Linked DNA regions of Arabidopsis thaliana. The protein of the gene in region 1 interacts with the protein of each later gene in a pairwise test. Each region holds a gene or a part of one and is shown in the gene's direction. Other genes may lie near its edges. The genes, in order: ZIM, FASS, NF-YC4 and TCP3.

Region 1 (8,110 bases):
AATAACTCAGTTATCAAGAAACTGGCGTTCTCAGATTGTGAAGGGTTTGGGAGAGACCTTGGTTGGAGCATATCCAGGACGAGCAATGAGCTTCATCACCAAGAAAACAAACCTCAAGTCTCCAACCGTAAGAAACAAACAGATCCTAGTTGGCTCTTAAGTTGAGTTATATATTAACCGAGTGAGTGGGGAATTTGGGTTGTACAGGTGATCAGTTACCCAAGTAAGAGGATAGGTCTGTATTCTAAACCCTCAATCATATTCAGATCAGATTCAAACAACGAGGATCTCGAAGGCAACGCAGGCGCTGGACTTTACGACAGGTTTGTTTTGTGTGTTTCTCTCTGTTTCCGTCTTTTATTTCGGAACTCAGAAGCTGAAAGGGTTAAGTGCTGCAGTGTGATAATGGATGAAGCAGAGGAAGTAGTGGTGGATTACTCAAGGGAGCCACTAATAATGGACAAATCCTTTCGAGTGCGTCTATTCTCAGCGATTGCAGAAGCTGGAAATGTGATAGAGTCAATCTATGGTTGTCCTCAAGACATTGAAGGTGTTGTCAAAGGTGGACATATCTACATCGTCCAAGCTAGACCCCAAGTTTAAGCTCTCTTTTTCTACTTGTACCATTCCCTAAGTTTTCAATCAAATCTTATAATTACAAGCTAATCTTTTATATGTTTGCTATTACACATGTAATATTTCTACATCATGGCACACTCCTGATACAAACAAACATGATTCAAAGTTTCATAATAAATGATTGTGTGATAAAAATCCAAAACTCGTTTAAACGACATCGTATGAAGGGTCGCATAAGCGAAGAAGGATATAAAAACAGTCGCCGAGAAAGTCTCCCGCTATGGATACCGTTCTCATGGCTACAACACCACCAATCAGATGTCTTCATGCTTCAATTCCTACGGTGTTCCGTTCGCCGGCGATTTATCAGGTCAGCTGCCGGAGCTCCCAACTGTTTTCCTACCGTTCGACGACTATGATGAGCATGTGTTTTCTCAGACGGTCCGATTTGAGATCTCGCTTTCTTAGTACTCCGAAAACCACTTCTCCGATGAGACGACCTCGCTTTTCCGTCGGTGCTTCTACGGAGGAGTCTTCAATTCCTTCTAATCGGAACCTTATCGTGGCTAACTCCGTCGTAATCGTAGCTTTAGCTGTAGCTAATCGCGTGCTCTACAAACTCGCTTTGGTTCCCATGAAACAGTACCCTTTTTTCATGGCTCAGCTCACCACTTTCGGGTAACTTAAACAAGAGTGGCTATGAAAGAAATTGGGCAGTGAAGGAGCCTAGCTTAGATTATGATAAATGAATGGTTTTTGGCAGCTACGTCTTGATTTATTTCACCATTCTGTATACGAGGCGCCGTCTAGGCATTGTGACGAATGAAATGATGGATGTACCCAAATGGAGATTCGCAATCATTGGTTTTCTCGAAGCTCTTGGTGTTGCCACTGGCATGGCTGCAGCAGGTATCCCATTTATAGCATGATTGAAACTTTACATATTTATAAGGTTACATATGGAGTGATTCCACTCTCTGTTGCAGCAATGCTTCCTGGACCAGTTATACCCATTTTGAATCAGGTCTTTTGGTTTTATGATTATCTTCTTGCTCATTTGTTCTCATGGGGGTGTTGAACTCATGCCTCCCAATGTTTGGCAGACATATTTGGTGTGGCAGCTGCTTTTTGCTCTTCTTATTTTAGGCAGGAGGTTTTTGCTTAACCAAATTGCTGGTTGTCTCCTTGTGGCTGTGGGGGTTGTGGTGGCTGTTTCAAGGTATTCCTTCCTCCCTCTTCTCTTCTTCTAAAGTTACTTTTATCTTCTTGGATCTGGATGCTTGATCTTGGGGTAGAGAAATGTTTGTGTATCCGTGGTCATTTACAGATTATATCAAGAGAGTGCTTTCAGCTCTTACAATCTAGAAAACTAGTTTTCATGGACCAGAGTCACACCTATCAAATTCACCATGCTAAATGAATGGAGACGGCTCTACTTTAGTATTTATCATCCACATAGCAAATAGAAGGCCCTGATTCTAGAGAAGCTTGTGTGATAGTGATACTTTCATTTTTGTGAATGCTGACTGTAACTCATCTGCAGTGGATCTGGTGCAGATACTACGCTATCTGGAATCGGTTTCTTATGGCCTGCTGTATTGGTAGCATCCGCTGCTTTTCAAGCTGGTGCATCTATCATAAAGGTGAAGGTCGCTCTCTCTTATGAGTTGTGAACATTTCTATTTTATTTTCTTTTGCCAAGACCCAAGTTGTTAAGTGTTTTGTCTGTTAACAGGAATTTGTTTTCAATGATGCTGCAAAGCGTCTTGAGGTATCTCCCTTATCCCCTGCATCAAACAGGAATGCTTTTCTTTCGAAACTTTGCTGAATTAACTCTAAGATTAACTGGTGGATGCAGGGAAAGTCACTGGATATATTTGTGGTAAATTCATTTGGATCTGGATTTCAGGTATCTACTACTACAATATCATGTTGTAAATGTATTTGTTACAGCCAAAACAATTAGACATGCTTCTCCATTACATCAAGAGTACGTGAAGAAAACATTTGAAAGCTGCTTTCCTCTGTTATTCACTTATTATCTCTCTCCTACTTGAGAAGAGTTTTTGTTTTTTGGTTTAGTGTTACGGATCACTGAAGCTGTGCTTGTGCAGGCTCTTTTTGTGTTCCTGTTGTTGCCTTTTCTCTCAAACTTGAAAGGCATTCCATTCGCCAGCCTTCCTTCATATCTAAAAGATGGTGCCGGATGCTTCTTCAACACTGGAGCTAAGATTTCTGGTTAGAGACCATTCGACACTTGTTTTTTTTTCCTTCATTGAATTTTATTCACTGCTAAAACTTTGTGATTATCCATTTGAGAATTTCAGGCTGTGATGGTGCCCCTATACTCCCACTGCTCTATATATCCACCAATCTCGCTTTCAACATCTCATTGCTCCATCTGGTGAAAATATCTTCAGCAATCGTTTCCTCTCTTACCATGATGCTCTCAGGTCCATATTTCTATCCTTCCATGCAACGCCTCTTAAGTGTCACCAAATACTCAAACCCATATGAGATAATACTTTTGGTGTTGTTGTAGTGCCATTAGCGGTGTACATAATGTCAAAACCATTGCCGTATCTACCGGGAGGATCAAGCTTGAGCTCAAATTTTACGATGGGGTGTATAGTTCTTGTCCTAGGTCTTCTTCTCTACAACATTCCCACTACTCCAACTAAACAACACACCAAGACCTCCTAACACACTCACTCACCATTCATCCTTTTTGTGCATTACTTTTTTTTTTGTTGATAAACCAAATTCGTGTAATTTCCCAATTTTTTTTCCTTTGACCATCAAAGATACATAGAATATTCTCAGATATTTTTTTTACGTGAAAAACTAGCTTAAAGAAAAAAAAAAAAAAAAAAGAATAACAAGAAGAGAAATTTGTGATTGGTTAAAAATCCAGTAAAGTAGAGTCGTCGGGTCGTCTCGGAAGCAGTGCTGCGATTTTACCTAAAGTCACCTTTTTTTTTTACCGTCGGGTGAATTCGACGACGGTCCTAATCTCGCCTCCTCCACACGCGCCGATCACCATCTCTCTCTGTAATCGCTCTTCTCGATGTCAACTATTTCCTTCTTCCTTTGCTCTTAGGGTTAGGGTTTATTTTGTTCTTTCTCTATATCCTTCAATCAATGTGAAAAAAAAGCTCTCCCTTTTGGCAGTTTCCGATGTTTGGTCGCCATTCGATTATCCCAAATAACCAGATTGGTACCGCCTCTGCTTCCGCTGGTGAAGACCATGTCTCTGCCTCCGCTACGTCTGGTCACATTCCTTACGACGATATGGAAGAAATCCCTCATCCTGACTCTATCTATGGTGCTGCCTCCGATTTGATTCCCGATGGCTCTCAATTGGTTGCTCACCGATCCGATGGCTCTGAATTACTTGTTTCTCGGCCACCGGAAGGGGCGAATCAGCTTACGATCTCGTTCCGTGGACAAGTTTACGTTTTTGATGCCGTTGGTGCTGACAAGGTAATTCTACTCTGTCCCTCTTTTGTTATTTGTGTGAAGTCTCGATGGATGCATCTGAAACATAACATCTGATGGCTTAGGGCACGTAACGATTGCCTCTTTTGCACCTTTGTGCTTTTGCTAGTCTTAACCAAACTTTGGAAATTGATTTCGTAGGTGGATGCTGTGTTGTCGCTGTTGGGTGGTTCTACTGAGCTTGCTCCTGGTCCGCAGGTGATGGAACTAGCTCAACAGCAGAATCATATGGTAACTTTGTTATTTGTGTTCAAATTCTGCTTAAATTGTCACTTCATCTCGATTCCACCTTTTTCAGTTTGGTGTTATTTTTAGCCTGTTGTAGAATATCAGAGCCGCTGTAGCCTTCCGCAACGGGCACAATCCTTGGATAGGTTTCGGAAGAAGAGGAATGCTAGATGTTTCGAGAAGAAAGTAAGATACGGTGTTCGCCAAGAAGTTGCCTTAAGGTCAGTGTGTCAGTCTTGAGTTTTACCAATTTATGCCAAAAGCTGTTACTCTGAACAAAATTCTTTCACCTTTTCTGGGATAAAAATTTAGTATTCTTGTATAGCTAAACTAAAAATTTTCTACTCTTCTGGCTATGCTCTGGTTGCTTAACTACTTCCTCACTTTCGTGTGCTATGGATTGAAAGGAAATCTGTTCATATTCAACTAGTTTACTATCTAGCTAGTTTTCTTTTATTTGTTTCAAGAAGTTTGGTGACCATGTAGGTGTTTATGTAGAGTAGTAGGCTTCATTGTCCATGGCTTGCTGTAGTATTTGACAATATGGTTGTAGTTGAGCAGGATAGACATCTGAGTCTTTGTTAGTGTGATAAGTAGCTTTTACTGGAAATAATCGACATGTCTATTTCAATAATAAGGGATAGGATTTGTCACCTTCTCTGCCTCTCTGACCTTTGTTAGTGTTTATCAGAATGGCACGTAATAAAGGTCAATTCACCTCTTCAAAGATGACAGATGGGGCTTATAACTCTGGCACAGATCAAGATTCTGCCCAAGATGATGCCCATCCAGAAATATCGTGAGTTCTTTCTCTTCTCTGCCAATTAACTGTTCCTGCAATTTTTGTTTTCCACTAATGTGGGACATTTTGTTTGCACTTATTTTAAACGTGAGTGTGTCTTATGTAGGTGTACTCATTGCGGCATTAGTTCCAAATGTACACCAATGATGCGACGTGGCCCTTCCGGCCCCAGGACTCTCTGCAATGCCTGTGGACTTTTTTGGGCTAACAGGGTACGTATGAAAGACAAAGTGATGATAAAGACATATATAATATGTTCACTATGTTCAGTTCATAAGATACTGATATAGCCAAGAAGTTTGACATTTAGAATTGTTCAATTCTTGTAGGGTACATTGAGGGATCTCTCAAAGAAAACAGAAGAGAATCAGTTGGCTTTAATGAAACCGGTAAGCTCTTATAAATATCACCCTGTGTTTCTGGTTGGTTTATCCACATAAGGCGGAGCTTGAATCATCATCGCTTATTTGTAGGATGATGGTGGGAGTGTTGCTGATGCTGCTAACAACTTAAACACTGAAGCTGCAAGTGTTGAAGAACACACTTCCATGGTTTCTCTTGCCAATGGGGATAATTCTAATCTGTTAGGTGATCACTAAATACTGTGATAAGAATCAGAAGATAGAAATCTTTGTAGAATCAGATGGTCTTCTCTATGAATTTATCTTTTCACCATCACATGTATTATAGAAACCGTAACCGAACCTCAAATCAAATACCATATCAGATGTCTTTGGTTTCAGAGTTTGTTACTATGCTTGCAACCATACCCATTGACATGGTGTGGTTAAAAACGTTAAAGTCGATTCTGAGGGGAAAAAAGTTTACTTATTACGTTACATCCTCAAAAGATATGATCAGATTAAAAAGACTTATCAATGTCTCATACATAAATCAAATACTAATCTACTCAAAACTTGAAAGGTGATTTCTTCTTCTTTTTGGTTGTATTGACCAACTAACAACACTACGTATCAAAATATCCGAAAAGATTTTAAAAGTTTCATTGGAATGGGACAATGCATCTTAGATCTCAATCCTAGTTTACAAGATTAGTTTATTAGAGGATGTATGCATACGCATCATATACCAAAACCATGTGGATTACTAAATCGGGCTCAGGACCACTAAATAGATTAGATTATCTACAAATCACATTATTGTGTACATAACAAATAGAATACATTATATAAATCACACAAAAATGTATCGAAGAAAAGAGAACCGTCGAACCAGTTTGATGGTAATCAACTAAGATAATGTTTTTTTTTCTGATGTCAATAGTGTTTGTTTATGAAGGAATTTATGATGAGATTATTCGAGAAGGAGTCGCTTTAAGTGACCCGATCCTCGTGACGACTCGTTGCTCTTTCTTTCTTTATTATAGATTATAGTTGTTCAAACAAATGAAAAGTATCTGAGACGAATAAATTAATGGGTGGTCTGTTTCTGTACTATAAAGAGGTCCATGCATGTACCATATCATCTTATTATGTACTATTAAACAAATAGATTAATGATTATATAATGTTTTCCGATATATTGAAATTAGTTTATGAGTCACGAGTTAAATCTGAAGGCTTCACCAAACCTAAAGTTAAAAGTCTCAAAACAGTTAAACACTCTTGTGATATCATCCCTGTATATAATCTTTAATGAAAACGTAGAAAAAAAGATTATTTGCAACCAGAAAACATCTGAACAAATATCCATTTCTCGTGGTTTTATGTTAAAACATTTGTCGTGTTGGGAAATAATTGAAACTTTTATTTTCCAACATTGAATTTTTCTTTATGTTAAAAGTGATGTGAACTTTGTATAAAATGAAGGAAAATTTAAAAGCACTCCCCTATATGCGATGCGAGAAAAGGGAGAGAAGATATGTATGCACTTGTTTCTTGTCACGTTCCGTTTCCACAAAATCAGTAGATATGCCAGTAACTGTGTTATCTTCTTCTTTTCGTGCGTCTGTATCCAGGAGACATATAAATGATGCTGAATTTCCTAACTATTTTTAATTTATAAACATGAGAAGCGTTAAATGGGTAGCAGCAATCAAACGTTTGGTGCTTAAAAGCGCTTATTTGAAGTATAAACAATTTGATATTTATAAGATAAAACAGCATTACATATGAAATATCATGATTCATAACTATATATGCAAAATTTGAAAACTTCTAAATCCCAAAATTACACAAAGATTAACTAAACTACATTATAATTTATAAATAAATAAAAAGATTAGTATCAAAACTAAAACGTTAAGAAATATCATAAGTGATGATTAGACGACAGTCAAAATGTTAAATTTCATGATGAAAAAACAAAAAAAAAAGAGTAATTTGTCCAAATACAATCAGCTGACTATATATTTTGTCAAATCATATATCATATATACTAAAACTAAGAAAAAGATAACCATCAAACCAATTCAATTTATATCCACCTACATATGACTTTGATACATTTTTTGTGTAGTTTGATCAGTGATAAGATTTTCAATCCTCTATAGTAATAAAAATTGCTAATTTCGATAATTTAAGAGATAATTACAAAACCAACAAGCACCTAGACACCCCTAAGATCTAGGAGAATGCATCCTCCTTAGTCATCACTTCCTTATAAAGTAAAACTATAAAAACTGAGATCACGAGAGAAACCGAGAAAGAGAGCCAAGAAATGCATGAGTTAGGATGATAATCCACGTGTCACTATCCTATTGCATGAAGAGTATACGTGTAAGCTCGTCACATAAAGTTTCCCTCTTCTTCTTCCTCAGAGTTTTTAATTGGCCATTTTATTACTTTTCCATAAATAATAATATAAAAATTCAAAATATTTAATTCCCCATTTGCTGTTGTCTTTCCTTTTCTTCTTCTTCTTCTTCCTTCCTTTTCTCGTGCAATCTCCAACACCTTGACTACGCTTCTTCATCCCACCAACAAAAACCCTTTCTCTATCAAAACCAAACCACCGTTAGTTTTTCTTTCCCGGTGATACGTT
Region 2 (8,864 bases), on another chromosome or scaffold:
ATATTTTAATGTTTTTTATAAGGATAAATATTATTAATGTTTTATAAAGTTCATATATATCAATAATAATATACCGTTAATGCTAATTGATCCTCTTAAAAAGGAATATTAGTGAGTAGTATATTTTACTTTAGATTTGGAAAGATTTAAATGATTGTTGTGATATATTTATTTTAGTTTTCTAAATTTTAGTAACAAAATTGATTTATATTTAGATTTGAGAATAAAATTGTTAAAATATTAAATGCCAATGACATTGGATTGTAAATAAATCCTCAACTTGAGGATTTATTTCATAAAAGTGTTGCAAAAATGTATATATAGATAATTATAAATACGTCATCTCTACATTATAATAGTACATCTAAAAAAATTGATTCAATGATCTGCGACCGGTTCAATCCAATGACCGAAAAAGTAATCTGATTCACTTCCTTCGTCGGTTAAAGAAACAGTCTAACACCAAGAGAGACCTTAAATGGTTCATTTCCATTGAGGCCATCTGACTGAGTCTGTCGAAGTCTTGTTTGAATCTGTGGGACGGCTCGAGCCATTGGCTGAATCATGCCATATCAACTCCATCTATTCACACACACACACACACACACATTGTGAATGTTCATCAACAGACTAACAAAAGCATCAAGTACATGCTGAACAAACAAAAGGTTCAGAGAAACTCAAACAAACCTCTCCTACGATGACGGTATCGCCTTCTTTAACGCCCATATTCTTCAGTGATTTATTCACACCACAAGCATCAAGTACATGCTGAAACCTTTTGTCTGAATCCATGTACCTATCCAAACACAAATCACATCGACATTGGTTAGTGACACTTGATTAGTTAGATTGCATGAATTATGGCTGTAGTTCAACTCATACCTCCAGTTAGTCATCTGGACAAAACGTTGAAGCCCGGCTCCAACTACATGCCAAGCCCTAGTACCGCTATCGCGGAAGACCTCAAACTCATTAATGGCTGCTCGTCGTTCCTTATCAATCTTCTTAGCTACATGGTCCAGATTCTCATTTGCTTGATCGAACAATGCTATAGCAAATTTGAAAACAAACCCCATCAATACACTGCATAAGCGCGATATCATTCTATTATGCCAAAGTAAAAGTAAACCACACCTTTGGGTTCTGCATTGGCTGCTCTGTACTTCTTCAGGAGTTCATAAACGGACGAGATTACTTCATGTGTACCTTCTCTTTGTACTGCGCTCATACAAAAAGGTTCAATCCCACGGGCACGGAGAGTTTCTTGAAACATTGGCCACTTCTCGTAAGCATCTGGGAGGTCCATTTTGTTGTATGCCACTACGTAAGGCTTCTCGGCGATCTCAGGACTGAATAGTTCGAGTTCGAGACGAACAGCTTCAAACTCAAGTTCAGGTTGTGGAGCTGAACCATCCACAACATGTACCTTTAAACCACAAAAGAAAGGGTCTTCTTAGAAAAAAGCAAAAATGAAGTATAAAGATTTGAATCTAAATTCTAAAGACAGTTGTTTTACCAGTGCTGAACATCTCTCAGTGTGCCGAAGAAACTCATGGCCTAAACCGAAGCCTCTGTGCGCTCCTTCGAGCAAACCAGGAAGATCTGCGACCACCATTGTTGAATCGTAATCAAATGAAACCACACCTAGATTGGGAAGTAATGTGGTGAATGGGTAATTTGCTATGGTTGGCTGTGCGGCACTTATCACGCTCAACAATGTGCTTTTTCCTGCATTTGGAGCACCCACAATACCTACGTCTGCGACCAGTTTCAGTTCTAAGTCCAGCCACCTATAGGCATATGTAAAGTTATAATTGGGAATCAGAGCTTCCCAGAAAAAAAAAAATATATATATGAACCACATATTACATTTCCTAAAGGCAAACACAGTCTCATAATTCTCCAACAGCATGATAGTGTTGGACTCTAAGAGTACCCAATCCAGTCTATAGATAACCCAGAAACTCATATCCGTTCATAATACTCTAACATACCTCTATCAACATGAGCTTTTCTACTAGCAGAGTCAGCAATGGAAGACTTTCAAAAGTCCTGTACCTGTATCTATATATAAATTCTTGTATAGTGAGCATTACTTACAAGATGAGATTTCCTCTGGAGATTAACCGAGATACTAAACCTAACCCAGATGATCGAATGAAGGAAGCAGGGCTCACATGTAAACATCAAGCTTTACCAAACAAAAGAAATACAAATCAACTGTTCCTAAACCAAAATGAAATTTTTACATCTTTGAACAATCTAGCTTCTGTGATTAGTTTATCCTATCAAAGCTTGTAACCATCATCAACACACTAAACTAAAACCAGCTCAAAAATGAAGAAAAATACACACTTACATTTCAGGACCTTCTTCGCCATTCTCAGCAATCCTAGGAACTTTATTCATCCCCGACTTAAACGAAGCATTCCCTCGTCCACCTCTCCCTCCAGGCAACAACAACGCCCTCTGTCCCGGATGCAACAACTCCAAAAGCACCTCCTTCTCCTCCCCTTCCTCACCCTCCACCTCACTCCCAACCTCTCTAGCCTGTCTAACCACCGTCCCAGGAGCCACTTTCACCACGACATTATCACCTTTAGCTCCACTCTGCATCTTCCCTCTCCCATGTTCCCCACGTCCCGCCCTGAAATGCACACTCTTGCGAAATGGCAACAACGAATTCATAGACCCATCAACCTCTACATACACATTCCCTCCTCTCCCTCCATCTCCACCTGAAGGTCCTCCAAAAGGAACAAACTTTTCTCTCCTAAACGCCACCACACCATTCCCTCCATCTCCGGCTCTAACATATATCTTCGCTCTATCGAAACACCTCATCACAGCCGGAACTCCTTTCTCCTTCACCCCAATTTCATCCTCTTCCTCTTCACCGGAGAAACATAACACTTCTCCATCCTTCAATTCAGACCCTTCACTATCATCTTTCTCCGCATCAGTTTCATCACCATACTCAAACACTTCGTCTTCCCAATCTTCATCATCTTCATCAATTGATCTTGAACTCCCTTCAAACACATCTAATCTTCTGTAATTTCCCCAAATATCATCATCATCATAACTCTTCACCTCCTTTTCTTTCTCTTCTTCCTCAATTTCCCTCAAAGTTTCAATCTTTTCCTCAACCCTCGCGACATTGGACTCAGATAGCTTCACTTCTTCAGAAACTTTTAAATAAGATGAAGACAAAAGAGAGACATCATAGTAATCTTCCCTAGGAGGAAGACGTGTATAAGTAGTGGCTTCGCCGCCGGCATCAGAAACTGGCTGGAGTTTATCACCGCCTCGAGATTTAAGCTCGACTTCGCGTTGAAGCTTCGTTTTTCTAGGGCTTCGGGTTCTTCCCGAGACTTTGTCAGGTTTAGCGAAAATCTTCCTCGTCCTACTGGGTCGGGCTAGAGCTTGAGGAGTGAAGAAACAGTTAATGGATATGGAAGCCATTTGTTTCTCTGATAAATCTTAACGGGACTTTATGTGATATAAACAACATTTTGTACTAAATATTGATTTTTCAAAGTAAAGGGGGTTACAATCAAAAGTAGTATAAAATTGAGGACTTATATAGCAAACAAGGAGAAACTTTTATTACCTTTGAAGTTTGAAGCTTGGATCTCGCAGATTGAGCTCCAGAGAGGGAGAGAGAGAGAAAGGGGGCGCTTTAGGGTTTCTGCAGTTCCTGGTTCAGTCTCACCATTCTATTTAAGGGTTTTAATCTCTCTGCTTCATTTGGTGACTAACATTTATCGTCGAGGGTTGTGACGATCTCCGAGAATGTATAGCGGATCTAGCGATGGTGAGAGTCATGATACATCGACGCAGAGGAAGATCCCACCGGCGTCTTCGATGCTTTGGGTTAGAAATCTACGACGATATATTGGTTCCGGTGCCGGATTAGGATCCGAAGCTCTAATGGGTAATGTTCCTTTTGCCGGTTGTTGCGTTTTGGTTGTTGGGACAGTCTGTAGTTTTTTTATCTTTTAGCTTGTGATGATGTCATAAATTCTGTAAAGTTTGAATCTTTGATCACATTTTAGAGCTCGTTGTGTTTTCAATATGAGTAAAGTTCCTGAATTTACATGTCTATGTATTGAAAGACTATGTTTAACTGTGATAGAGTCTTTGGTTTTGCTTAGTTTGATAAGGGTTTGTGTTCATTGTTTTGTAGAGCTTGAGACGAAGAGAATCTTGCTCGAGATTTTTAAAGAGAAGCAACAGAAAAGCCAAGAAGCAGGCACAATACCGAGTTTCTACAAGAAGGCATGTCCCTTACTCTGTATAAAATGATTGCCTTTGCATTTCAAGGCACTACTCGGTTAAAATATTGCATTGTGTTATACACTTCATAGAAGTTGTTTTTCCTTTTAAGTATTCGTGTTAGGCAATAAAATTTTGTTCCTTTACTCTTGGTTCAGAAACCAGAAGAAGGATCTATTAGTCAAAGGGTCCAGAAGCTTGCAAAGTACCGTTTCTTGAAGGTATTTCGCCTGCTCTTAATTATTCAGAAGAAGTTTAATGTTTTTGCTCACTTCGATATGTTGATTAATTCCCACAGAAACAATCGGATCTTTTGTTAAACGCTGATGATTTGGCTGCTATGTGGGTTTGTTTGAGAGAAAATTGTGTGATTGATGATGCCACTGGTGCTGAAAAGGTACGTGCATCTTTTATAGGATTTTTCTCTGGAGCTGAAACTATGTTAACAATGATGCTGATATTGCGCTGTCTTTTTCATGTAGATGAACTATGAAGACTTCTGTCACATTGCCTCTGTATGCACTGAACAAATCGGTCCCAAATGTCGCCGGTTTTTTAGCCCATCCAATTTCATGAAATTTGAGAAGGATGAGGCTGGGAGGATTGCCATTTTACCGTTTTATCTTTATGTGATGCGCACGGTGAGTATCCTTATGTTTTTATAATGTCATGTCTTTGGGTATCATTTTTGTTCATTGGCTGAATATCATCTGTCGCCATAAGCTAAATATTCTTTGGTACTGTGTTTGAGTGACACCAGCTTTGCTAGTTTTGGATGTTTGTTTTTCAAGTTTTTTTAATTTGGCGTGTCTTTTACTTAAACAACTATAGTTAATACTTGTTTTGATTAATCATATGTTCAACACTATTCAGGTGTCGCTTACACAAGCTAGGATTGATATGAGTGAGCTTGACGAAGACTCTGATGGTTTCCTTCATTCTGATGTAAGTACTCAAGTGGCTCTAAAGCTTTAACTTTAGAATTGGCTCAAGATTCTTTAGGTAGTCGTCCTACCTGCAAATGTCAAATGGTGTTGACTTTTATGTCAAGTTCCTTACAGTTAGTCTACTTGCTGTTGTTATTATAGGAAATGGAGTCCTATATTGGTGGTCTAATCCCTAATCTGGCACAACTGAGAGACATGCCTCCGGCCTTTAATCAAATGTATTGCCGCATAGCTTCACAAAAGTTTTTCTTCTTCTGTGATCCCCATAGGCGAGGTAAGTGAAAGAAAATATTATTATTATTAGGCAATTAGAAATTTCTTTGACCCAGTATTCAATCGCTCGTAAATGTGATATTTTTTGCGTACAGGAAGAGCCTGCATTAAAAAGATACTGCTCAGTAACTGTCTGCAGGAACTAATGGAATTGCATCAGGTAAGTTTAGTTGAAGGATGTATGACATACAGCTTCGTCACCGTATAACTTTCCACTTTCATAAGCTACTTGCTTGTGTTTTCTGATTGTTCCTTGGTTACTCAACGTTAGGAAAGCGAGGAGGAAGTCACAGACACTGAACAGGCAGAAAATTGGTTCTCTTTGACTTCAGCCCAACGCATATGTGGTGGGTGTGCTATTTTGTCTTAATAGCTGCAGAGAACTGGAAACAACTCTCGTTATGTCATATTAAGAACTAAAATGGAGATTGATCTAGAGTTTCTCTTTCTTCTGTAGATATGTTCCTCGCACTTGATAAAGATATGAGTGGATCGCTGTGCAAACAAGAACTTAAAGAATATGCTGATGGGACCCTAACTGAGATTTTCATTGAAAGAGGTAAATTTAAGCCCTTTTGGTGATTGTAGGCTCGTGGTACTGATCGAGACACGCTTAGTATACTAATTCCCCTTTGTTTTTTTAGTGTTCGATGAGCATGTCCGCCGTGGTAAAATCGTGGCAGGCAATTCCCGGGAAATGGACTTTGACAGTTTCCTCGATTTTGTTCTTGCTTTGGAGAACAAAGATACTCCAGAGGGTTTGACGTATTTATTCCGTTGCCTTGATCTCCAAGGGAGAGGCTTTCTCACTACTGCTGATATTCACTCTCTTTTCAGGTAATGAATCTCTATGAAGCGACTGAATCTGTTTGGTTTCTTACTTTTTAGTAAATTTTGTTTGAAACATGGAAGTAAAGAAGGGGAGCATCAAAGAGTTGTGATGTTATCTGATACAATCTTCCTAAATAAACACTCTGCATTTCCTGCTTGCGGAAGCTGAGCTTTGTTCCGCGAGTCTCATATCTGCAAAGACACTAGTGCATATCAAACACACCATTGATGTGTGATAATGCCATTGTCTCTCTTCTGAATTCATCTGTTTAACTTGCAGAGATGTTCACCAGAAATGGATAGAAGGTGGGAACTATGAACTGTGCATAGAAGATGTTCGAGACGAGATCTGGGACATGGTGAAACCGTCTGACCCATTAAAGATCACTCTGGGTGATCTCTTGGGATGTAAACAAGGTGGAACCGTTGCGAGCATGCTTATAGATGTGCGTGGCTTCTGGGCTCATGACAACCGTGAGAACCTTCTTCAAGAAGAAGAAGAACCACCTGAGGAAGAGTCTCAGTGATAATGTTATTTTCTATGTCTACCTAAAAAAAATGCTAAATCATTGAGATCAAAAGTCTCGCACTAGTAAACAGTCTCATCTCATGTGTGTGTATCTTTGTAAGCTTATTAGTTGGTGACGTTTAATGAAATGGCTGTTTATATCGTCACTTGTCTTATTCTACTTGGGATCTGATTTGATTTTTGACATTTCTGAATTCACTTCTATTATACATTACTCCACAACACACATGAATTCAGTCATGTCTCGAGTACTACAAAATGGAAGTCATAAAAGTTATCGTGTTGTCTCTGGTCTGTGTTTAGACATGGAAAGGCTTTCTGGGTGTAGCAGCTCTGTTCTCTAGAGATTGTAATCTTTGCTTCAGATGAAACACTTCAACCTGCGTTCATCTCAAGTTTTTAGAACAATACTACATTTTGAAAATGCAAATTTGAATAGAGTCTATTGATGATTATGATGACACCTGCAACTGGAACGCTCTTGCTCTTTCTCCTGCAAGAACTCCTCTTGTTGAATGCAACTCCTACAAAACCCATAACACAAAACGGTATTAAACTTTAATCCTCAGTCTTTTGAAAACGCTTGTATATCTACTAGGATTATTTTACCTTTTGTGTATCGTCTAGGACAGCTTTGAGGAACGCTACATCATGCTCAAGCCTGACATTGTCGGAGTGAACCATGTTTGACAAACTATTAGCTTCCTCTTGAGCGAGCTCTAACCCGGTCAGCTTCTCCTTAAGCAATTCAACATCTCTCATGGCGTCAGATAACTTTTTATCAGTCTCTTGTTTGCTCCTCAACGCAACCGACACATTCCTCTCAGCCGCCTCTCTTCCCGCCAATGCTGCTTCTAACTGCCCTTCCAGAATCCCATTTCTTCTTATAAGAGCCGTCATTTTCGCTTCATGGAATTGGTACACGCTCGATGAGGACGCTGATCCTGCAAAGTTGATATTATCCATTTCTTGGAATATCAAGGCGCCATCAACGTTTTCTAAAGGATATGTTTCAGAGCATTGCTTCTGGAGACTTAAGATTTCACGGTCAGAAACCATAGAAAGTGTTTTCTCTGCTGTAATCTTTGCTCCTCCAGTATTGTCATCTGTGGTCTGAAACCAAGACAAGACGTTTTAAAAGCAAATTCAAGAACGTCAATAAATGCAGGTGAATCATGAACTAACTATATATACCGGAGGAGGCACGGAAATGTCTTCTTCTGAACACTTTGCGGGTTCAATCACCGCTCTGTATTCCTCTTCGGTGCTAAACTGTTTACGCAAAGAGACATTTCCAGAAGGTGGGTTACGATGATCACCGAAAGCAATCTCTGATAAAGACCTTCTACCAGAGCCACCATGCTCTTCAATGGCTGAAGCAAGTTTCTGTCTGGCAACTGAATCAATCAGCCTCTGTGAAGAGGCTTTAACCGATTCATCAGAGGTTAAAACTGCCGAGGAAGAAGATCTTTTTCCAAACAGTAACCGGCCGGGGTTTTTCTTGGAAGTTGTTTGCGGATGTGTTGGTGATTCACTCTTGTTCTTGTCAATGGTAAAAGCATCGACCTTTTCATAGTTCAGACATAGCATCAAAACACATACATAAATTGAGATCTTGAACAATACAGCGGAATGATAAGGCTCGAACCTGATTTGAAGGATCTTTTTTCGTTCCTCCAAAAGCTACAAGGAAATCTTTATCCTTGTGTTGCAGAAGAACTAGACTAAATCCCTATTTCAAACATACCACAAGACAATAACTGAGCTTTTAACAGATGGGGTTGAAAGAATATACAAGTTAGTTACATATAAGAATGTGATTTTTCTATTTATCCACCTTGTTGGATGTGACAGAAGATTGAGAGGAGATGCTTGCTACAGACCACTCGACCTTAAGGATATCGAAGACCAATGTTTCCGCATGTCCTGGAAAAGCAAAGCAAACTTGTAAGATCCAGGTAACATTTAGCGCAGTTTCGAAGTAGAACTTACTCTTCTTTCTG
Region 3 (7,142 bases), on another chromosome or scaffold:
TGATTCAAGAGAAGGCAAAGGAAGAAGAAGGAGAAGAGCATCAGGATCAGCAGAATCAATGGAGTATGTAGAGACAGACGCTTGGGCTGCTGCTTATAGTGGAGTTGCGGCTGGTGCAGCATTAGTAGCTGGTCTTGGTTTTATGGCTTTTCTCAGAAAATTCGGTCATTGATTCCTCAGAAACACTACAAGAAGTGTTTCTTTAACAGATCAATACAAACAAAAAAGAAAAACAGACACAGGGTTTGAAGGTTTTGTCTGAAATATTTTTATATACAAAAGTCATTTTTGATTATTTTTTTGGCTTCATGATATCAAAATAACAAATATCTAAAACTAATACATGGAGTAATTCAAGAACAAGGCTTAGAATCTTTGTCTAAACTGATCTCACTATTGTCAAAAAAATAAAACTCAAACAGAACAAGGGCTTTGCCATGTAGAGATATCTGCTATAAGTTCCCGAAGTTTATCTATAAGTTCTTTAACATGAACATTCTTCTTTGCAATCTCCTGCATGAACAAAAGCTTCCGTTTATTAATGCCAACAGAGAAGAACAATATAATCACTTCCCATAAGGTTATTAACATAGAAATCAAAATGACCAGATGGCTGAAATGTATTCAAAAAATTATCAACATTTCCATGGTTCTAGAACCGCTTAAGCTATAATGATACAAACACTTACACTAGACAGTGGGAAAGAACACTTTATACAAGAAAATATGAATCAAATTCAATGCTATGTGAGTTGAAATGTACAGAGAATTCGAGACTGAATAGTGTATCAATGTAGTAACATCAGATTGAAAACAAAGAGATGTAGAAATTGCAGAAAGCTTTACCATTCTGAGACTTAAGGCTTGCTCCTCCAATTTTTCGATCTCGTCTTCACTTTCAGGAGATCCTAAACCATTTTGCATTTCAGATGCTTTTGCCTGTAATAGATGAACAAATTCAAATTTATGAAACCTCAAAAAAGCTCTCATTTAAAATTAAGCAAGTTCACTACAAGTGAAGAACAAGACACTCAACAAGCATTAGATCCTTCATCTAAACTCTCTATCGATTCGAAGATTTCCTAATCTAAGATCTCAAAACACCCTAGGAATTCAAAATTTCCTCAGTCCAGAAACAACTCAGAACAAAACACTTCTCGAAATAGTTAGTAACATCACATTATGTTCAATACCTTCTGCGAATTTGGAATCGCAGCAAGAACAGCACGAAGCGAAGTCACTGAGTTCTTATACCGAAGACTCGCCTCATCCAAAACACTATTTCCACTTCCTCCGCCCCCGCCACCACCAGCAGATTCCGAATGATGCGATGTTCCATCAATCGCAGCCGCATCGGCGGAAACGAGAGCCGAACCATTAGAACCCGTCGTCGTCGCGGCGGAACTCGGGGTAGCTGAAGTAGACCACAAAGACGGATTACAAAGCTCATCATTCATGGCTGAAATTATCTGAAACGCCGCTTCAATAGTTTCTTCCAATTGCTTCTCTCCTTCCATCGCTAGCTCCTGTGTCGTCATCGTCGTCGTCGTCGAGACCTGTTTCTGCAGCATCACCGTGAACACACTTTATCACGGCGTCGGTTGACTAAACTATTAATACGATGTCGTTTTAATCAAACTATATAATATATATATCAATAATATAGTTTTTATAGATAAATAAAAATAGAAAGAAATCAGCTACATCGCTGTCTACCTTATCCACTATTACTCCAATCCATATGACAAAAACTATCTAAAACGTTAGTTTGATCTTTTGATCCAATCACAAGGCAAAGATCCAATGGACAATAACAACAACAACAACAACCAGCAACCACCACCAACCTCCGTCTATCCACCTGGCTCCGCCGTCACAACCGTAATCCCTCCTCCACCATCTGGATCTGCATCAATAGTCACCGGAGGAGGAGCGACATACCACCACCTCCTCCAGCAACAACAGCAACAGCTTCAAATGTTCTGGACATACCAGAGACAAGAGATCGAACAGGTAAACGATTTCAAAAACCATCAGCTCCCTCTAGCTCGTATCAAAAAAATCATGAAAGCTGATGAAGATGTGCGTATGATCTCCGCCGAAGCACCGATTCTCTTCGCGAAAGCTTGTGAGCTTTTCATTCTCGAACTTACGATTAGATCTTGGCTTCACGCTGAAGAGAACAAACGTCGTACGCTTCAGAAAAACGATATCGCTGCTGCGATTACTAGAACCGATATCTTCGATTTCCTTGTTGATATTGTTCCTAGGGAAGAGATCAAGGAAGAGGAAGATGCAGCATCGGCTCTTGGTGGAGGAGGTATGGTTGCTCCCGCCGCGAGCGGTGTTCCTTATTATTATCCACCGATGGGACAACCGGCGGTTCCTGGAGGGATGATGATTGGAAGACCGGCGATGGATCCTAGCGGTGTTTATGCTCAGCCTCCTTCTCAGGCATGGCAAAGCGTTTGGCAGAATTCAGCTGGTGGTGGTGATGATGTGTCTTATGGAAGTGGAGGAAGTAGCGGCCATGGTAATCTCGATAGCCAAGGGTAAGTGAATTCTAGTAATATTCAGCAATGTAGCTTGTTGCAATTGATTATCTATGGTTATTGAGATTCTTCATGAGCTTGCTTTGATTAGTCTTAGAGGAATTTGCTGCTCTGTGTCATCTTCATTGATTCTCATCAAATAAGCTAAAAATTGATAATATCAAAGAAGCTCAATTTACAGTATCATCTGGCTCATTTCTTTAGATTCATAAACAAAACTTTGTAAAATACACAATTTTGATATCCATTATTTGATTTGACTCACACCTTTGATTATTTGTACAATGTTGTGCAGTTGAGCTATGGAACCAGAAGCTTAGAGATTTAATCATCATTTCGACCCTGCAAGTGTCTGATTCTTATATGTCTATGATTCGAATGACTTACTCGAGAGAGAGAGAGAGATCAAACAAAACAAAACAAAAAAGCTCTTTTTCATTTTTCCTGTTAACTTATAAGTTATTGCAGCAAAACTGCAGACTTGCTTAACTATATATTAATCTAAATGTGCAGATTCTAATCTATGCTTTGTATTTTTGTTGATTCTTGCTCCTAATCTAGTAATGATCAGAGCTTATGTATGGCATATTGAGTTTGTATTTCATGGCTTGTAGTAGCTTTGAGTTCTCTGTCTCTTATAATAACTTCTTACTTAATCATCTTAAGGCCTGATAAGGCCTATATATTAGCTTTGAATAGACCACGTTTTAACATGTATATATAAATTATATTAAGGCCCATATATTAACTTCTTACTTAATCATCTTAAGGCCTAATAAGGCCCATATCTTTCTCCAATAGACGCAATCGGACGGTGACCATCTCTGTGCCGCTTTGTTCCTAAACGATTTTCTGTCTGTTCTCTCTTTGCTCTCTCGCCCTCTCTTGCTCTTCTGGGTTCGTCTTCCTCGGCTAGGGTTTATCAGTGGTTTGTCAATGGAGGCTTCATCATCTCAACCATCCGATTCTTCTGATCAAACTGCTTCCAAGTTCCTTTCTGACCTCCCGTCTCGAGGTTTCTTGTCTTCTACCGTCGTCTCTTCCAATCCGGTAACTTTTCTAACCCATTCCCGCCTTTTTTGTTTTCTAAGGTCTATTATGGATTCCGAATTTTGAAATTTTGGGTTTTTCAAAGTGATTAGCTTTTTGTATGCGTCTTCAATTCTTCAAAGTGATCTTGATTGTAGTTCCAGATCGTTGAAATTTGGGTAGAATTAAATCAGAGAAAATCTTGTCTGAATTGTAATTTTGATTTTAGGTTTAGGTTCCACACTTTGTGCCTATAGGCTCAAAGTTTCTGCTTTTTACTTTGAATTTTACCATTTACTATAAATGCTTGAAGCTTTGAGATTTGTGATCAAATTGTGTAATGATAATTACAAGAGTTCACTTATAATATACTGCTTCAGTTCATGACAATTGATCTTGTTAATTACTTTAGTAACGTTGGCAAGCGACTGCTTTGAATCCATGTGTTGCTGTCAAAAGCTGGATTTAGTAATGCGTAGCTCTTATTTCCAATCATATTGGAGTTTTATTACAATTTATTTTCTTATAAGATCATTCAGTTCTAGTTTTCCTGTGAATGTGGCAGACTGGCAGGATCTCAGAGTGTTTCTTTCCTTTTGAAGTTGTTTCATCTATCTGTGTAGTAATAGCTTCTTTGTTAAAGCTTAATCATACATTTTAGTAACTTTCTTTTGTGTAAGATTTCAGGGAAGCTTGCGGGTCTACATTTGTGAGCATGACACATCTCCCCCAGGTAATTCTTTTCTTTTTTCGTTTTGTTCCACGAGTTGTTTTCTTAGAGACAGTTTCTTGTAGCAATCTCATAAAACAATTCCTTTTCATTTTCTCTCTGGGTGAGAATTGGCTACACTGGAAAAGTAATTGGGAGTCTCAGGATTATCAGTTTCAGAATAAGCTGCGTTTCAGTAATAAGTCTTTGTTTCCTGTAGAATTTTGTCTTACTAACAACTCCTAACTTATTTTGTTTGTCATATATCCAGAAGGACAGCTTATCAAAACAAACCAGCAAAATATACTAATCAGATCTCTCTTGTTAAAGAAGCAAAAAGGCGAATCTAGTTCTAAAGACTCAAAAGGAACTGCTGAAGATGGTCCTAAAAAGAGGTAACTACGACACGTGATTAGTTCTTTCCTCCCTTGCGTGACTAATCTTACTGACTGAAAATCACTAATCTTTCTTATTGCCTACATAAATGGTGTGTTCATCTATTACTTTTTCTTATTCGTAGGGCTGCAAATAGAGCTCTGGACGACAGAAGCTCAGCTAAAAGAGCTGCTAATGCATCTAGACAAGGTTATCTCTTTATACCTTTAATTCTATTTGATTTAATTTTCAAGATCGTATGTCACTTGGACTTTAAACAATGAATTTCTTCTGCACAGAAGGATCAAGCAGTCGCACAGGCGAAAGAGACTTTCAGTCTTTGACCGTTGAGAAGCTCCGCGCCATGCTCAAGGAGAAGGGCCTTCCAACAAAAGGAAGAAAGGCAAGTCACAATATATGCTACTGTTCTTTTTGAAAACTCTGTTAAAATTGTTTACAGCTTCTCAGTCTTGTACTCTCAATAGTATCTTAAAGAATCTGTCGTATGGGGTTGCTTCCAGTTCTTTGTTTATCGTGGCTCTTGTTCCACTGATTGATTATGGAACTTGACTGGTTTTGCAGGATGAGCTCATTGCGCGTCTGAAGAGTGCCAACTGAAATGAAGTTGAGAAGGGTGCTCTGGTGAATATATGTATCTTTAGAGGTTTCCCAAATAGGAGAGAATTGTTGTTGTTCTTGATCAAATACAAATCCTTTTGATCTCATCTGGAGAATTTGTTATCAGGAATTAGGCTACTTTAGTTTATGAATCCGGTTTGGTGACATTTGTAATATGGATTTCATCTTTTGATAAAGCAAACCAAACCAAACCAGGCGGTCTTGGTTAATTAAAAATGTGATGGAATTGCTTTGGGGCTGGCTATATTAAGTACAACACTATGGTCAATAGTTTAAAATCAAAGAAGAATTATAAGGCAAAACAACATTTGACCCGCAAGTGAGACATGCAAATTTTCAATTCCTGTTCACCTACCAAAAAGTGAAACCAAAATCCTTTTGTGGCGGATTTGATGAAAAAATTACAAACACAACCGTTGTATATTTTTGGTTATTAGGAGATAAAACGAAAAAAGAAAATAAATGGGGCTAAAATTTTAGTTTTATGGATTAGACTTTAGTATTTAACCGTGAAAAGCTAGTGTTGAATTTCTAAATTATTTATTAATTTTTTAAAAAAATTGAAATAATTTCTTATTCTTGATAGTAAAATGATGTCTATTTGATATAGTACCTCTCTTTTCTCCCTTTCAAAAATGAAAACAAAAGCATCATAAAAATTAGTGCGAGTCAAAACCACGAGTCTCTTGGACGGTGAAAATGAAGTTGTGAGAACGAAAAATGAAAGAGAAAGTACTTTCAAAGAAGGGCAATTCTTCTCTTTCTTTCTTTTTTTGTAGATGTCGTTATGACAAATAATTGTGTGTCAAATCAAAGCAAAGAATGGGACACTTGTGGACATTTTCTAATAAATAAGTAGAAACTCGTTGCGATGCTTTTGGTTCAGAGCTCTTGTACTTAATGGAGCCAGTTCTCCGAACGGCGCCGTTTTCTGGTCACAACGTGACAGGCTCACACCAATCTTACATATTTTCACCATATTTTGCATATGAACTAATTAATTAACCATTGGTTTTCGTTTTTTCACTCCGCATATCATCAATTATTAACGCCGGACTACAAAAGAAATGTATGCATCATTTTGTTTATTTTATAATCAATATACATAAACCACTATACCTTTCTCGTCTATTTTAATGAAATGAGTTAGTTAAAAAAGATTACTAGATAGATATTTTTTTAATGAGTAGGCAAATAAATATGAAATATCTAAAACGAAATAAAGTATAGATGAGACAAAGAGGTAAGATTGTATTATTTTTTAAAATGTGGATGATTTTCAGCCAACACGAGCTTAAAAATAAGTCAATGGAACTAGTTCCGACTTTTTTGCTCTATGAAAGAAACTCGATTTTCAAACCACGTGAACCACGTGCACGAAAACTGATAAAGATCCACTGAACTAGTAGTCACAAAAAGTGTATTTTTATTTGTTGTTCTACATACATAACGTTAATAATAATCGTGCATTCAATTGTTTCAAATTTCGGCTGAAGAATTTTATCAACGTGTTCGATCTTATCCGACACATGTCTGGTATTGGCGGATTCTCCAACCAATACTTTGTCGTCCTCATGTAATGAATTATTCGTCTGCACGCAAAGAAATTACACTTATTTAATTTAGAACTGTGATTAAATTAATATTAGAACAAACATATATGCTAGTGAGATACAGTAATCTTGATTTCAATAGTTCACTAACTTATCGACACTAGATATAGCAACAAAAATGTTGGTAGCTCAACCGATTGTAAGGATATTGTTCTAGTTGTAATCCAAATTTAAATATTGTTTAGAAAGATACACAGATTAAAAACAAATCAAATTTTATGTCCG
Region 4 (7,764 bases), on another chromosome or scaffold:
CCGTTAGTGTTTTTGTGTATTGCCCTTTAAAACTGTTCATGTTAGAGGAAACACTATTTGACCATCTAACTCTTGTAAACAAATCAAATAATCAGTTTATGTAAAATTATAAAGACGAATAAAAATAAAATATTTTACTACAATTCCCCTGAAAATGACTTAATACAAACTAATCATTTTGAAAGGGAATGGAAGAATGAATTTATAACTTTTCACAGTGCTTTAATTTCTTTTATTACGGAAAAAAATAAGACAATGGAAATAAACGAAATAAAACTAGGAAATTGACAGAAAAAATTGTGTTTATTTCTTTATCGGAAAAACAAGTTGACAAAAATAAATGAAAGGAATAAATATTGGGGAAAATAACTTAAGAGAGAGAGATAAGAGGAAATGACTATGAGGGTGATGGGGAGTGTACTTACTGACACACATGCGATCGAAAAACACTAAAAGCCTATAGGGTATATTCGTAAATTTATTTAGACTACACTTGGTTGAGTAGGTGCAATGGGAAACATTTATTTGAAATTTGATTCCATCTTTGCCTTACATATCGATACGTCATCTTTTTATGTGTGCATTGTCATTATTTGATGATCAAGAATATGGTACCAAATACATTATATATCAGAAAAGTTCGTATGACTACGGGTATTTAATTAAAAATACAGTACATGCATGGTCGGTGTGTATAATGGAGAAGTAGTTAGAAAGAGAATTTGTGGTAATGACAAAAAAATGGAAAACAATAATTGATTGTGTCCTAAACCAGTGAACCGTGCGATATTTCGTGCCTTTAAATTTGATGTTGCATGTCGTAGAACGATGTTTTGATAATTTCTTCTCTTGGGAAGGTAAAAGAAAAAATTATGGATTCAATGCAGATTGGCTCGATGAGTAGGAAACGCACTTACAAAAAACATAAATCTCCTATCTACAATCACATATTTCTTCTTATATCTCTCTTGAAATCTCTACATGAATCACACCTAAAATGTTCATATTTAATCACATACCATACTTGTATTAGTATGTCAAATGCTCGGGATTTCCTTGTTAACAAAAAAGAAAAAAAAAACTGATTGAGTTACCAAATTACGTATATATACACATTTTTATCTTTGTTTAAAGGAAATTCAAGTTAATTTTAAACTAAAACTATGTACAAGTATGTATCTCTATTATTTTCGTTTTCCATCTGAAACTTTACTACGTTTGGTTAATTAAAAGTGGGATTGACGAACAGTGGAGTTCGAGAACAGATAGTGGAAAGGAGCATAGACAATGGTTGATTATAGGGATACTGTCGAATCCTACGGATACTGGTGATGCATTTTACAGGGTGTAACCTCTAAAACCAATACAATTTGATTCGATGAAAATAATACTTTATTTGTTTAAAATAATACCATCAATATTAGTTTATACCGCCCAATTATTAGTGTCTCCAACTCTCCAACAGATCTAAAAGCTTTACTTTTTAGTTTTTATTATAAAAGAAATCTTCTTGTATTGTCTTTTTTTCCAACAACCCAAAACCTTTACTACCTCAAAAGTTCTGTATTAATATTTTCTAACACAGTACAGAACAATCTTTGACTTGGTAAAATTTGGGTTTATTAGTGCTTATAGTTTCTATCATCTTTAACAAAAAAAAATAGTGGTAGTCAGAACCAAACCTAAGAGGACTATGTATATGTGTTGATATTCTTACAGTAACCTCTACCAAAATATATCCATTGTAATGTATATAGCTAATACAATTCGAAATGTCATGTAAAATATTTCCACATGATGAATCGGACAAAAGCTTTTTGTTTTTCATTTAGAAAAACCATAAAATATATAATATAAAATAAGAAAACACTTTAAAAATGAAATAAAAGCACAAGTGATGATGATGAGTATCAGAGAGCTCTTTTTATGACCAAACACACTCCTTCCATTACCATTTCCCTCTCTTCCCCAAACCCCAAAATCTCTTCCTTTTTTTACCGTTACTGTAAATTTTCCGGCCAGAAACAAAAAATTAAAAAGAGCTTTCCTGGATTCTCGTTTAGTCAATTCCACATCTCTCTATCTCTTCTCTCTCTTCTTGCTTCCTCTGTTTTTGCTTCTTGAATTCTCAGAAACAGAGACAAATTCTAAAAAAGAAACAATCTTTAGACAAAAGAAGAGAAATTTAGTCATGGGTTAGTCTGCAAAATTCAATTACGTCTTCTTCTTCTTCTTCTTCTTCATCTTTGATTTGTTGGCGTGTTTAGGGTTTGGGATTTGGAGGAGAGGCAAAATGTTGAATTAAATAAATCGAACGACTCTGGATTCCTCGGCGGTTAACGACCGCCGTCGCCGCCGCCGTCATAATCCAACCACCACCACCATCAACGACCTTGAATTTCCACAATATGCTTCATCAATGGCACCAGATAACGACCATTTCTTAGATTCTCCGTCGCCGCCTCTTCTAGAGATGAGACACCACCAATCAGCGACGGAGAACGGTGGTGGTTGCGGCGAGATTGTGGAGGTACAAGGAGGTCACATTGTTCGGTCAACAGGAAGAAAAGACAGACATAGTAAAGTATGTACAGCGAAAGGACCACGTGACCGGCGCGTGAGACTCTCAGCTCCGACGGCGATTCAATTCTACGATGTTCAAGATAGACTTGGTTTTGATCGACCAAGTAAAGCTGTTGATTGGCTTATTACTAAAGCTAAATCCGCCATTGATGATCTTGCTCAGCTTCCTCCTTGGAACCCCGCCGATACTCTTCGTCAACACGCCGCCGCTGCTGCTAACGCTAAACCCAGAAAAACCAAAACTTTAATTTCTCCGCCACCGCCACAACCGGAAGAAACAGAGCATCATCGAATCGGAGAAGAAGAAGATAACGAATCGAGTTTTCTTCCGGCGTCAATGGATTCTGATTCGATAGCTGACACTATAAAGTCGTTTTTTCCGGTAGCTTCAACGCAACAGAGCTATCATCATCAGCCACCGTCACGAGGCAATACACAGAACCAAGATCTTCTTCGTCTCTCGCTTCAATCTTTCCAAAATGGTCCACCTTTTCCTAATCAAACAGAACCTGCTCTGTTCTCCGGCCAGAGCAATAATCAGTTAGCGTTTGACTCATCGACGGCAAGCTGGGAACAGAGTCATCAGTCACCGGAATTTGGAAAGATACAGAGACTAGTGTCATGGAACAACGTCGGAGCAGCTGAATCCGCCGGAAGTACCGGAGGATTTGTGTTTGCTTCTCCGTCGTCGTTGCATCCAGTTTATAGCCAAAGTCAGCTTTTATCACAGAGGGGTCCCCTTCAGTCCATTAACACACCTATGATTCGTGCTTGGTTTGATCCTCACCATCATCATCATCATCATCAGCAGTCCATGACCACTGACGATCTCCACCATCATCATCCCTACCATATCCCTCCCGGGATTCACCAATCTGCTATTCCAGGCATTGCATTTGCTTCAAGTGGTGAATTCTCCGGTTTTCGTATACCAGCACGGTTTCAAGGCGAACAAGAGGAGCACGGCGGCGACAACAAGCCGTCCTCTGCTTCATCCGATTCTCGCCATTAAACAAGTTCCAAAAACACATAAGATTGTGCAACACAACAGGTTTCTTTTCATATTCCAGGTTTGAAGTTTTTCGAAAACAACACCCATTTGTGAAAGTCTTGTCTTTTAACCATTCATCAAATTGATAACTTACATTGTTTTTAACGTTTCAGGGCGCTTCGAATGCGTGGAATAGTGAAGGCGGTTTTCGTTGTTGTGTGTTTCGAATATCCAAATGGCCTATAAATCTGATCAACAGTTTCAGGTTCTTCTTAAGTCTTTAAAAGCCTAGGCCTTGGTTAATTTGAATTCATCTTGTATCAATTAGAGAACGTTCTGTAAGTTCAATTCTGTTTTACAATGTTTAGCTCTAGCTACATGAGCTCACATCTTGTTTGTTGTAACTTGTTCTACAATTACTTGTCCTTTATTTATGTTCTTGTGTTGGAAACCTTTAACCCCACTTGAAGCTAAAGTCTTTTGTTTGCCCTTTATTCCATGTGGGTTTAATGCTTTCCCCAAGAAATATCTCATTTTGTTTGCCAATCCCAAAGAGGAACAGTGCTCTATCCATCTACATCAATCATCATATTGTTTGGTTTAGCGTTTATTAGAAGTATTATCTTCCCAATCTCTGTGGTTATAAACTTTCTTTTGACTAGCAAATGGAATTTGAAACAATCATTTCTCTTGTGTTTCTTAGTCTCTTCTTTTGGCCCCATAGATGAAGAGTCACTTTCCATAGACAGGGTTTGCATGTGTTGCTTCTTTTGGAGTTTAGAGTTTAGAATTATGGGTTTCTTTTAAAATTTGTTTAGTGGATGCAAGCTCTGATACTTAGTAAGAGTTTTGGCCCATGATCCACGGATCCCTATATAAATATCAGAGAAATGGTTTTTGACTTCTTTTCATAGAATCTTCCTCAATACTAGATTTCAAGATTTTATGAAAAAGGAGCAAAAGAGAATTTGATGTCTAGTGTCAAATAACTGTCTACTTTAAACAAGAGTGTAGGAGATCCACCGAACTTGAGTGTGATGTAGTCTTTAATAAGTAAAAAAGAATAGGACATTAGATTAGTAGATGAAGACACTCTTGTTGGTCTAAATGAAGGAAGTTGAAAGCAGAGCAAGTCTCTTTCTTTTCAGATCAATAGTGTGAAGGTATGAATTTTTGTCCATAATTTGTCGATTTTTGGCTATAATATCTTTCGGAAAGAAAACTTTGGTTTCTTATGGAGAAGTTATATAAAGAAGCAACACTTTACATGAGATGGGATAAGATGAGATTGGAAGTAGTGGCTAGACATCCGAAAGTAAATTGCAGCATAAAAAAGAAAAAGACAGCCTGAATCATATCCATTCTACATTTTAAAATTCTGTTATCTTTTCTTCTTCTTTTGTTCCTTCCTTGTAACCTTCTTGTTCAAATGTATATGATTGATGTACATACAATAAATGTAGCTCATGATGAATCTGGTTATGTGAAAAGATCAATGAGGTAAAAGAAACCTCTATGATTTTGGGGGCATGACAGAAGAAAAAGGGAATGTTGAAGAAGACATGAATGATAATAATAAAAAAGGATAGCAAAGTGTAAGAAAAGGATGAAACCAAAATGGGAAAAAAGGTTGTCACCTTTAAAGAATGGTCCCCTCTCTCTATTTCTTTCTATCTCTTGTCAGATCTCAAGGTTACATACAGCTGTCTTACTTTTCTTTGATTTTTCTTCATTCTATTCCATAGCCAATGATAATTTTCCAAAAAAAGAAGAAAAGAGTCGCAAAATGGCTCAAAACTTGATTGTTGGATAGTGGTCTAAAACCATTATTGTTAGTTTGCATCTCTCTTCAGAGGATGAGGTTACAACAAAAAGTTTTAAAACCGGCTCTTTTGGTTATTAAGTAATGAGGTTACTACGTTTGATGTTGTTTGAGTTAACCGGTTTCATTTACTGAATGATAAGAAGCCAACCAAATTTGATCCAATTTTCCTTATTGACACTAAAAGTTTATGTTCCTTCAAACACCATCAAATTCTGGCAGGCATGAATTTTCTGATTTACATTTGGTTTAGCTTCATACACAAAATGATGATATCAAGAGTTAAGGACCGAACCAAAAAAAAGAAGTTAGAGCTCGTCTTTCAAAAGGTTCTCCGGATTCATATACAGTTTTTGGGTCTAAAAATGTTTGTAAATAAGAATTCTATCGAAAATAATAAAGACTCAAGTTTTGGTCCCGGCGGGGCTCGAACCCGCGACCTTCGGCTCATAAGACCAACGCTCTAACCAACTGAGCTACGGGACCTGACGATAACATTCTACGTTAGTACATAATGAATCAATTATTCATCGGCTTATGGTACAATTGGCATTACTTGCTAAGTAAGTGTCATAAGTTGGTTCGATCATTTTTTTTTCCCCGAAAAATTAATAAATTTCAATCTCTAAATATGATGATTACAACTTACAAGTAACTTTTTTGGTTCAATACAAAGAACATCCATAAGTAAAACTATAAAAGAGCAAGCAAAAATAAAGATGTAGGAGAAGACTAAATAGACAGAAGAAACAAGAAAGATATTACTGTATTAGCTTCAATAAGACTCTGTTTCCAATACACAAATCTCAGAATTTAAGTTTTTACACTCGAGAATCCATATATATATATATATGTAGAGAAGAAACGAAACCACGCGCGAAGACACTCACTCATTAGAACAAACTCTTTGAACAGAGAGTGATATCTACGACCAGCCAAACCAGTAATCAAGAATATAGACCAGACCCAAGGAGAATGGGTAAAGCAAGTAAGCTATGAAACATGTCCAAAGAGGATAAGTTGTGCGGAAACTCGCGAAACCGCCCATCACCAGACAAACGATGAGAATCACCAACACTTCTGATGAGAAGTTCCATGTCAGTCCTCGAACGTAGACGATTGCTAAGAACACCGAGAGACACAGAATGTTGTTCATTGTCACTCCACCACATAGCTGAAAACAAACAAACACCAAGAAACGGGTTTTAGTATAGGAAATATAATGGGACAGAAAGATATAAGACTTGTGAATATGGATGGACCTCGGAGAAAGTTAAAGAGGCGGTTCTGATCTTTTTGCGGGATGCGAAGATGATGGCAGACACGGCTTCACTTGAATTGGTGGCCAAAGGCAAAGCGATGAAGGAAATGAAGAAAGACGGAATCCCTGTGGCTGCGGAGAAGTTGTTAACAGTGTCGACTAAAGGATCAGCAAATGCAGCTGCAATGGCAGCTCCTAACAGTAGCAGCAGAGCTGCTTTAATGGTGATCCATTTTGGGTCTGCAACCTCACCGCCTTCCTCATCATTCTCACCATTCTCGTTATCTCCCAACAAAGCATGCTCTCTCTTTGTTTGCTGCAAAACAAGAAAAAGGATAAAACTAATTGCGTTAGATTCCAGATAAGTTTTGTGACCCAAGTCTGTTCAAATAAGGTTTCAACAGTCTTTCTAACCACATGGAAATTGTCAAGGAATTTCATTGTTCGAGGGCCAGCTTCAGGACCAGATGGAGCACCTCCCATTGCCTGGATAAGCCATTGCTTAATTCCACGGACAAACTCTTCTTGATCAACTTGCTCATCAAGAGTCTTATCAAAATCTTGGAGAACTTTTCCCACAGCATCATCCTTGTCAAAATCTATATCCTCAAAGCTGATCCCAATGATAAGCGCCTTTAGTTCAGCCGCTGACAAGTGTCCGTCATTGTTTGCATCAATTGTCAAAAACAACCTAATAAACAGATAAACTTGAGCACAAGGTGAAACCGAGTAAAGTGCATTCTCCATGTAAAGAATATATGACTTACTTTCGAATGACATGTTCATCAGGCTGACCTTCATCATCAAGAAGCCTTCCCAGAGCATGTTGTTTCAAGTGCCTTAGTATTCCTGATATAACATGCTTGTGTTTTGCAAAAGCAAGCCGTCTCCTTTGGATCCATGGTTGGAATACCTAGATATCATCATACAAGGAAGGATAATCTCACAAAACAAGATGGAGAAAGCAAAAAAAAAGGAAACAAGTCTAGTAAATATTTTTCAGAAACTTCTGTCCTGAAGATTTTATGTTACCTGATATACACAGTAAGAGATCAACATAAGAACTGAAAGGATTAGAGCAATCAACACGGACAATTGTCTTCCAGA

What was found.
Region 2: the proteins of ZIM (region 1) and FASS interact in binary tests that used the Arabidopsis thaliana proteins (3 or more experiments, as listed by UniProt).
Region 3: the proteins of ZIM (region 1) and NF-YC4 interact in binary tests that used the Arabidopsis thaliana proteins (3 or more experiments, as listed by UniProt).
Region 4: the proteins of ZIM (region 1) and TCP3 interact in binary tests that used the Arabidopsis thaliana proteins (3 or more experiments, as listed by UniProt).

What each region holds. Positions count from the first base shown.
Region 1 is NC_003075.7:12,642,029-12,650,138, forward strand, and holds ZIM (GATA-type zinc finger protein with TIFY domain-containing protein), read left to right. Parts: upstream 1-3,535; 5' UTR 3,536-3,756; coding exon 3,757-4,062; intron 4,063-4,218; coding exon 4,219-4,308; intron 4,309-4,392; coding exon 4,393-4,526; intron 4,527-4,996; coding exon 4,997-5,104; intron 5,105-5,213; coding exon 5,214-5,319; intron 5,320-5,436; coding exon 5,437-5,520; intron 5,521-5,580; coding exon 5,581-5,706; 3' UTR 5,707-5,836; downstream 5,837-8,110. Other genes in the region: PWD (phosphoglucan, water dikinase), read left to right, coding at 35-127, 208-323, 399-603; CLT2 (CRT (chloroquine-resistance transporter)-like transporter 2), read left to right, coding at 860-1,257, 1,343-1,488, 1,566-1,603, 1,683-1,798, 2,123-2,222, 2,315-2,350, 2,438-2,488, 2,694-2,817 and 2 more. UniProt on the Arabidopsis thaliana protein: Transcriptional activator that specifically binds 5'-GATA-3' or 5'-GAT-3' motifs within gene promoters.
Region 2 is NC_003076.8:6,171,356-6,180,219, forward strand, and holds FASS (tonneau 2 (TON2)), read left to right. Parts: upstream 1-3,616; 5' UTR 3,617-3,798; coding exon 3,799-3,940; intron 3,941-4,192; coding exon 4,193-4,284; intron 4,285-4,439; coding exon 4,440-4,502; intron 4,503-4,579; coding exon 4,580-4,678; intron 4,679-4,763; coding exon 4,764-4,922; intron 4,923-5,154; coding exon 5,155-5,226; intron 5,227-5,369; coding exon 5,370-5,502; intron 5,503-5,596; coding exon 5,597-5,661; intron 5,662-5,772; coding exon 5,773-5,848; intron 5,849-5,958; coding exon 5,959-6,060; intron 6,061-6,145; coding exon 6,146-6,338; intron 6,339-6,348; exon of another isoform or gene 6,349-6,612; coding exon 6,613-6,859; 3' UTR 6,860-7,046; downstream 7,047-8,864. Other genes in the region: EMB269 (GTP1/OBG family protein), read right to left, coding at 484-582, 691-799, 886-1,051, 1,138-1,429, 1,520-1,793, 2,363-3,468; AT5G18590 (Galactose oxidase/kelch repeat superfamily protein), read right to left, coding at 7,161-7,241, 7,326-7,385, 7,471-7,974, 8,056-8,427, 8,510-8,593, 8,699-8,787, 8,854-8,864. UniProt on the Arabidopsis thaliana protein: Probable regulatory subunit of type 2A protein phosphatase involved in the control of the dynamic organization of the cortical cytoskeleton.
Region 3 is NC_003076.8:25,411,746-25,418,887, reverse strand, and holds NF-YC4 (nuclear factor Y, subunit C4), read left to right. Parts: upstream 1-1,688; 5' UTR 1,689-1,803; coding exon 1,804-2,552; coding exon of another isoform or gene 2,553-2,556; exon of another isoform or gene 2,557-2,847; coding exon 2,848-2,851; 3' UTR 2,852-3,288; downstream 3,289-7,142. Other genes in the region: AT5G63490 (CBS / octicosapeptide/Phox/Bemp1 (PB1) domains-containing protein), read left to right, coding at 1-172; AT5G63480 (mediator of RNA polymerase II transcription subunit), read right to left, coding at 415-513, 847-939, 1,194-1,571; AT5G63460 (SAP domain-containing protein), read left to right, coding at 3,489-3,602, 4,269-4,314, 4,440-4,475, 4,562-4,685, 4,811-4,875, 4,965-5,068, 5,248-5,283. UniProt on the Arabidopsis thaliana protein: Stimulates the transcription of various genes by recognizing and binding to a CCAAT motif in promoters. Involved in the abscisic acid (ABA) signaling pathway.
Region 4 is NC_003070.9:19,846,091-19,853,854, reverse strand, and holds TCP3 (TEOSINTE BRANCHED 1, cycloidea and PCF transcription factor 3), read left to right. Parts: upstream 1-2,129; 5' UTR 2,130-2,419; coding exon 2,420-3,595; 3' UTR 3,596-3,653; exon of another isoform or gene 3,654-3,654; intron 3,655-3,747; 3' UTR 3,748-4,067; downstream 4,068-7,764. Other genes in the region: AT1G53210 (sodium/calcium exchanger family protein / calcium-binding EF hand family protein), read right to left, coding at 6,322-6,570, 6,659-6,973, 7,072-7,348, 7,425-7,570, 7,690-7,764. UniProt on the Arabidopsis thaliana protein: Plays a pivotal role in the control of morphogenesis of shoot organs by negatively regulating the expression of boundary-specific genes such as CUC genes, probably through the induction of miRNA (e.g. miR164). Participates in ovule development.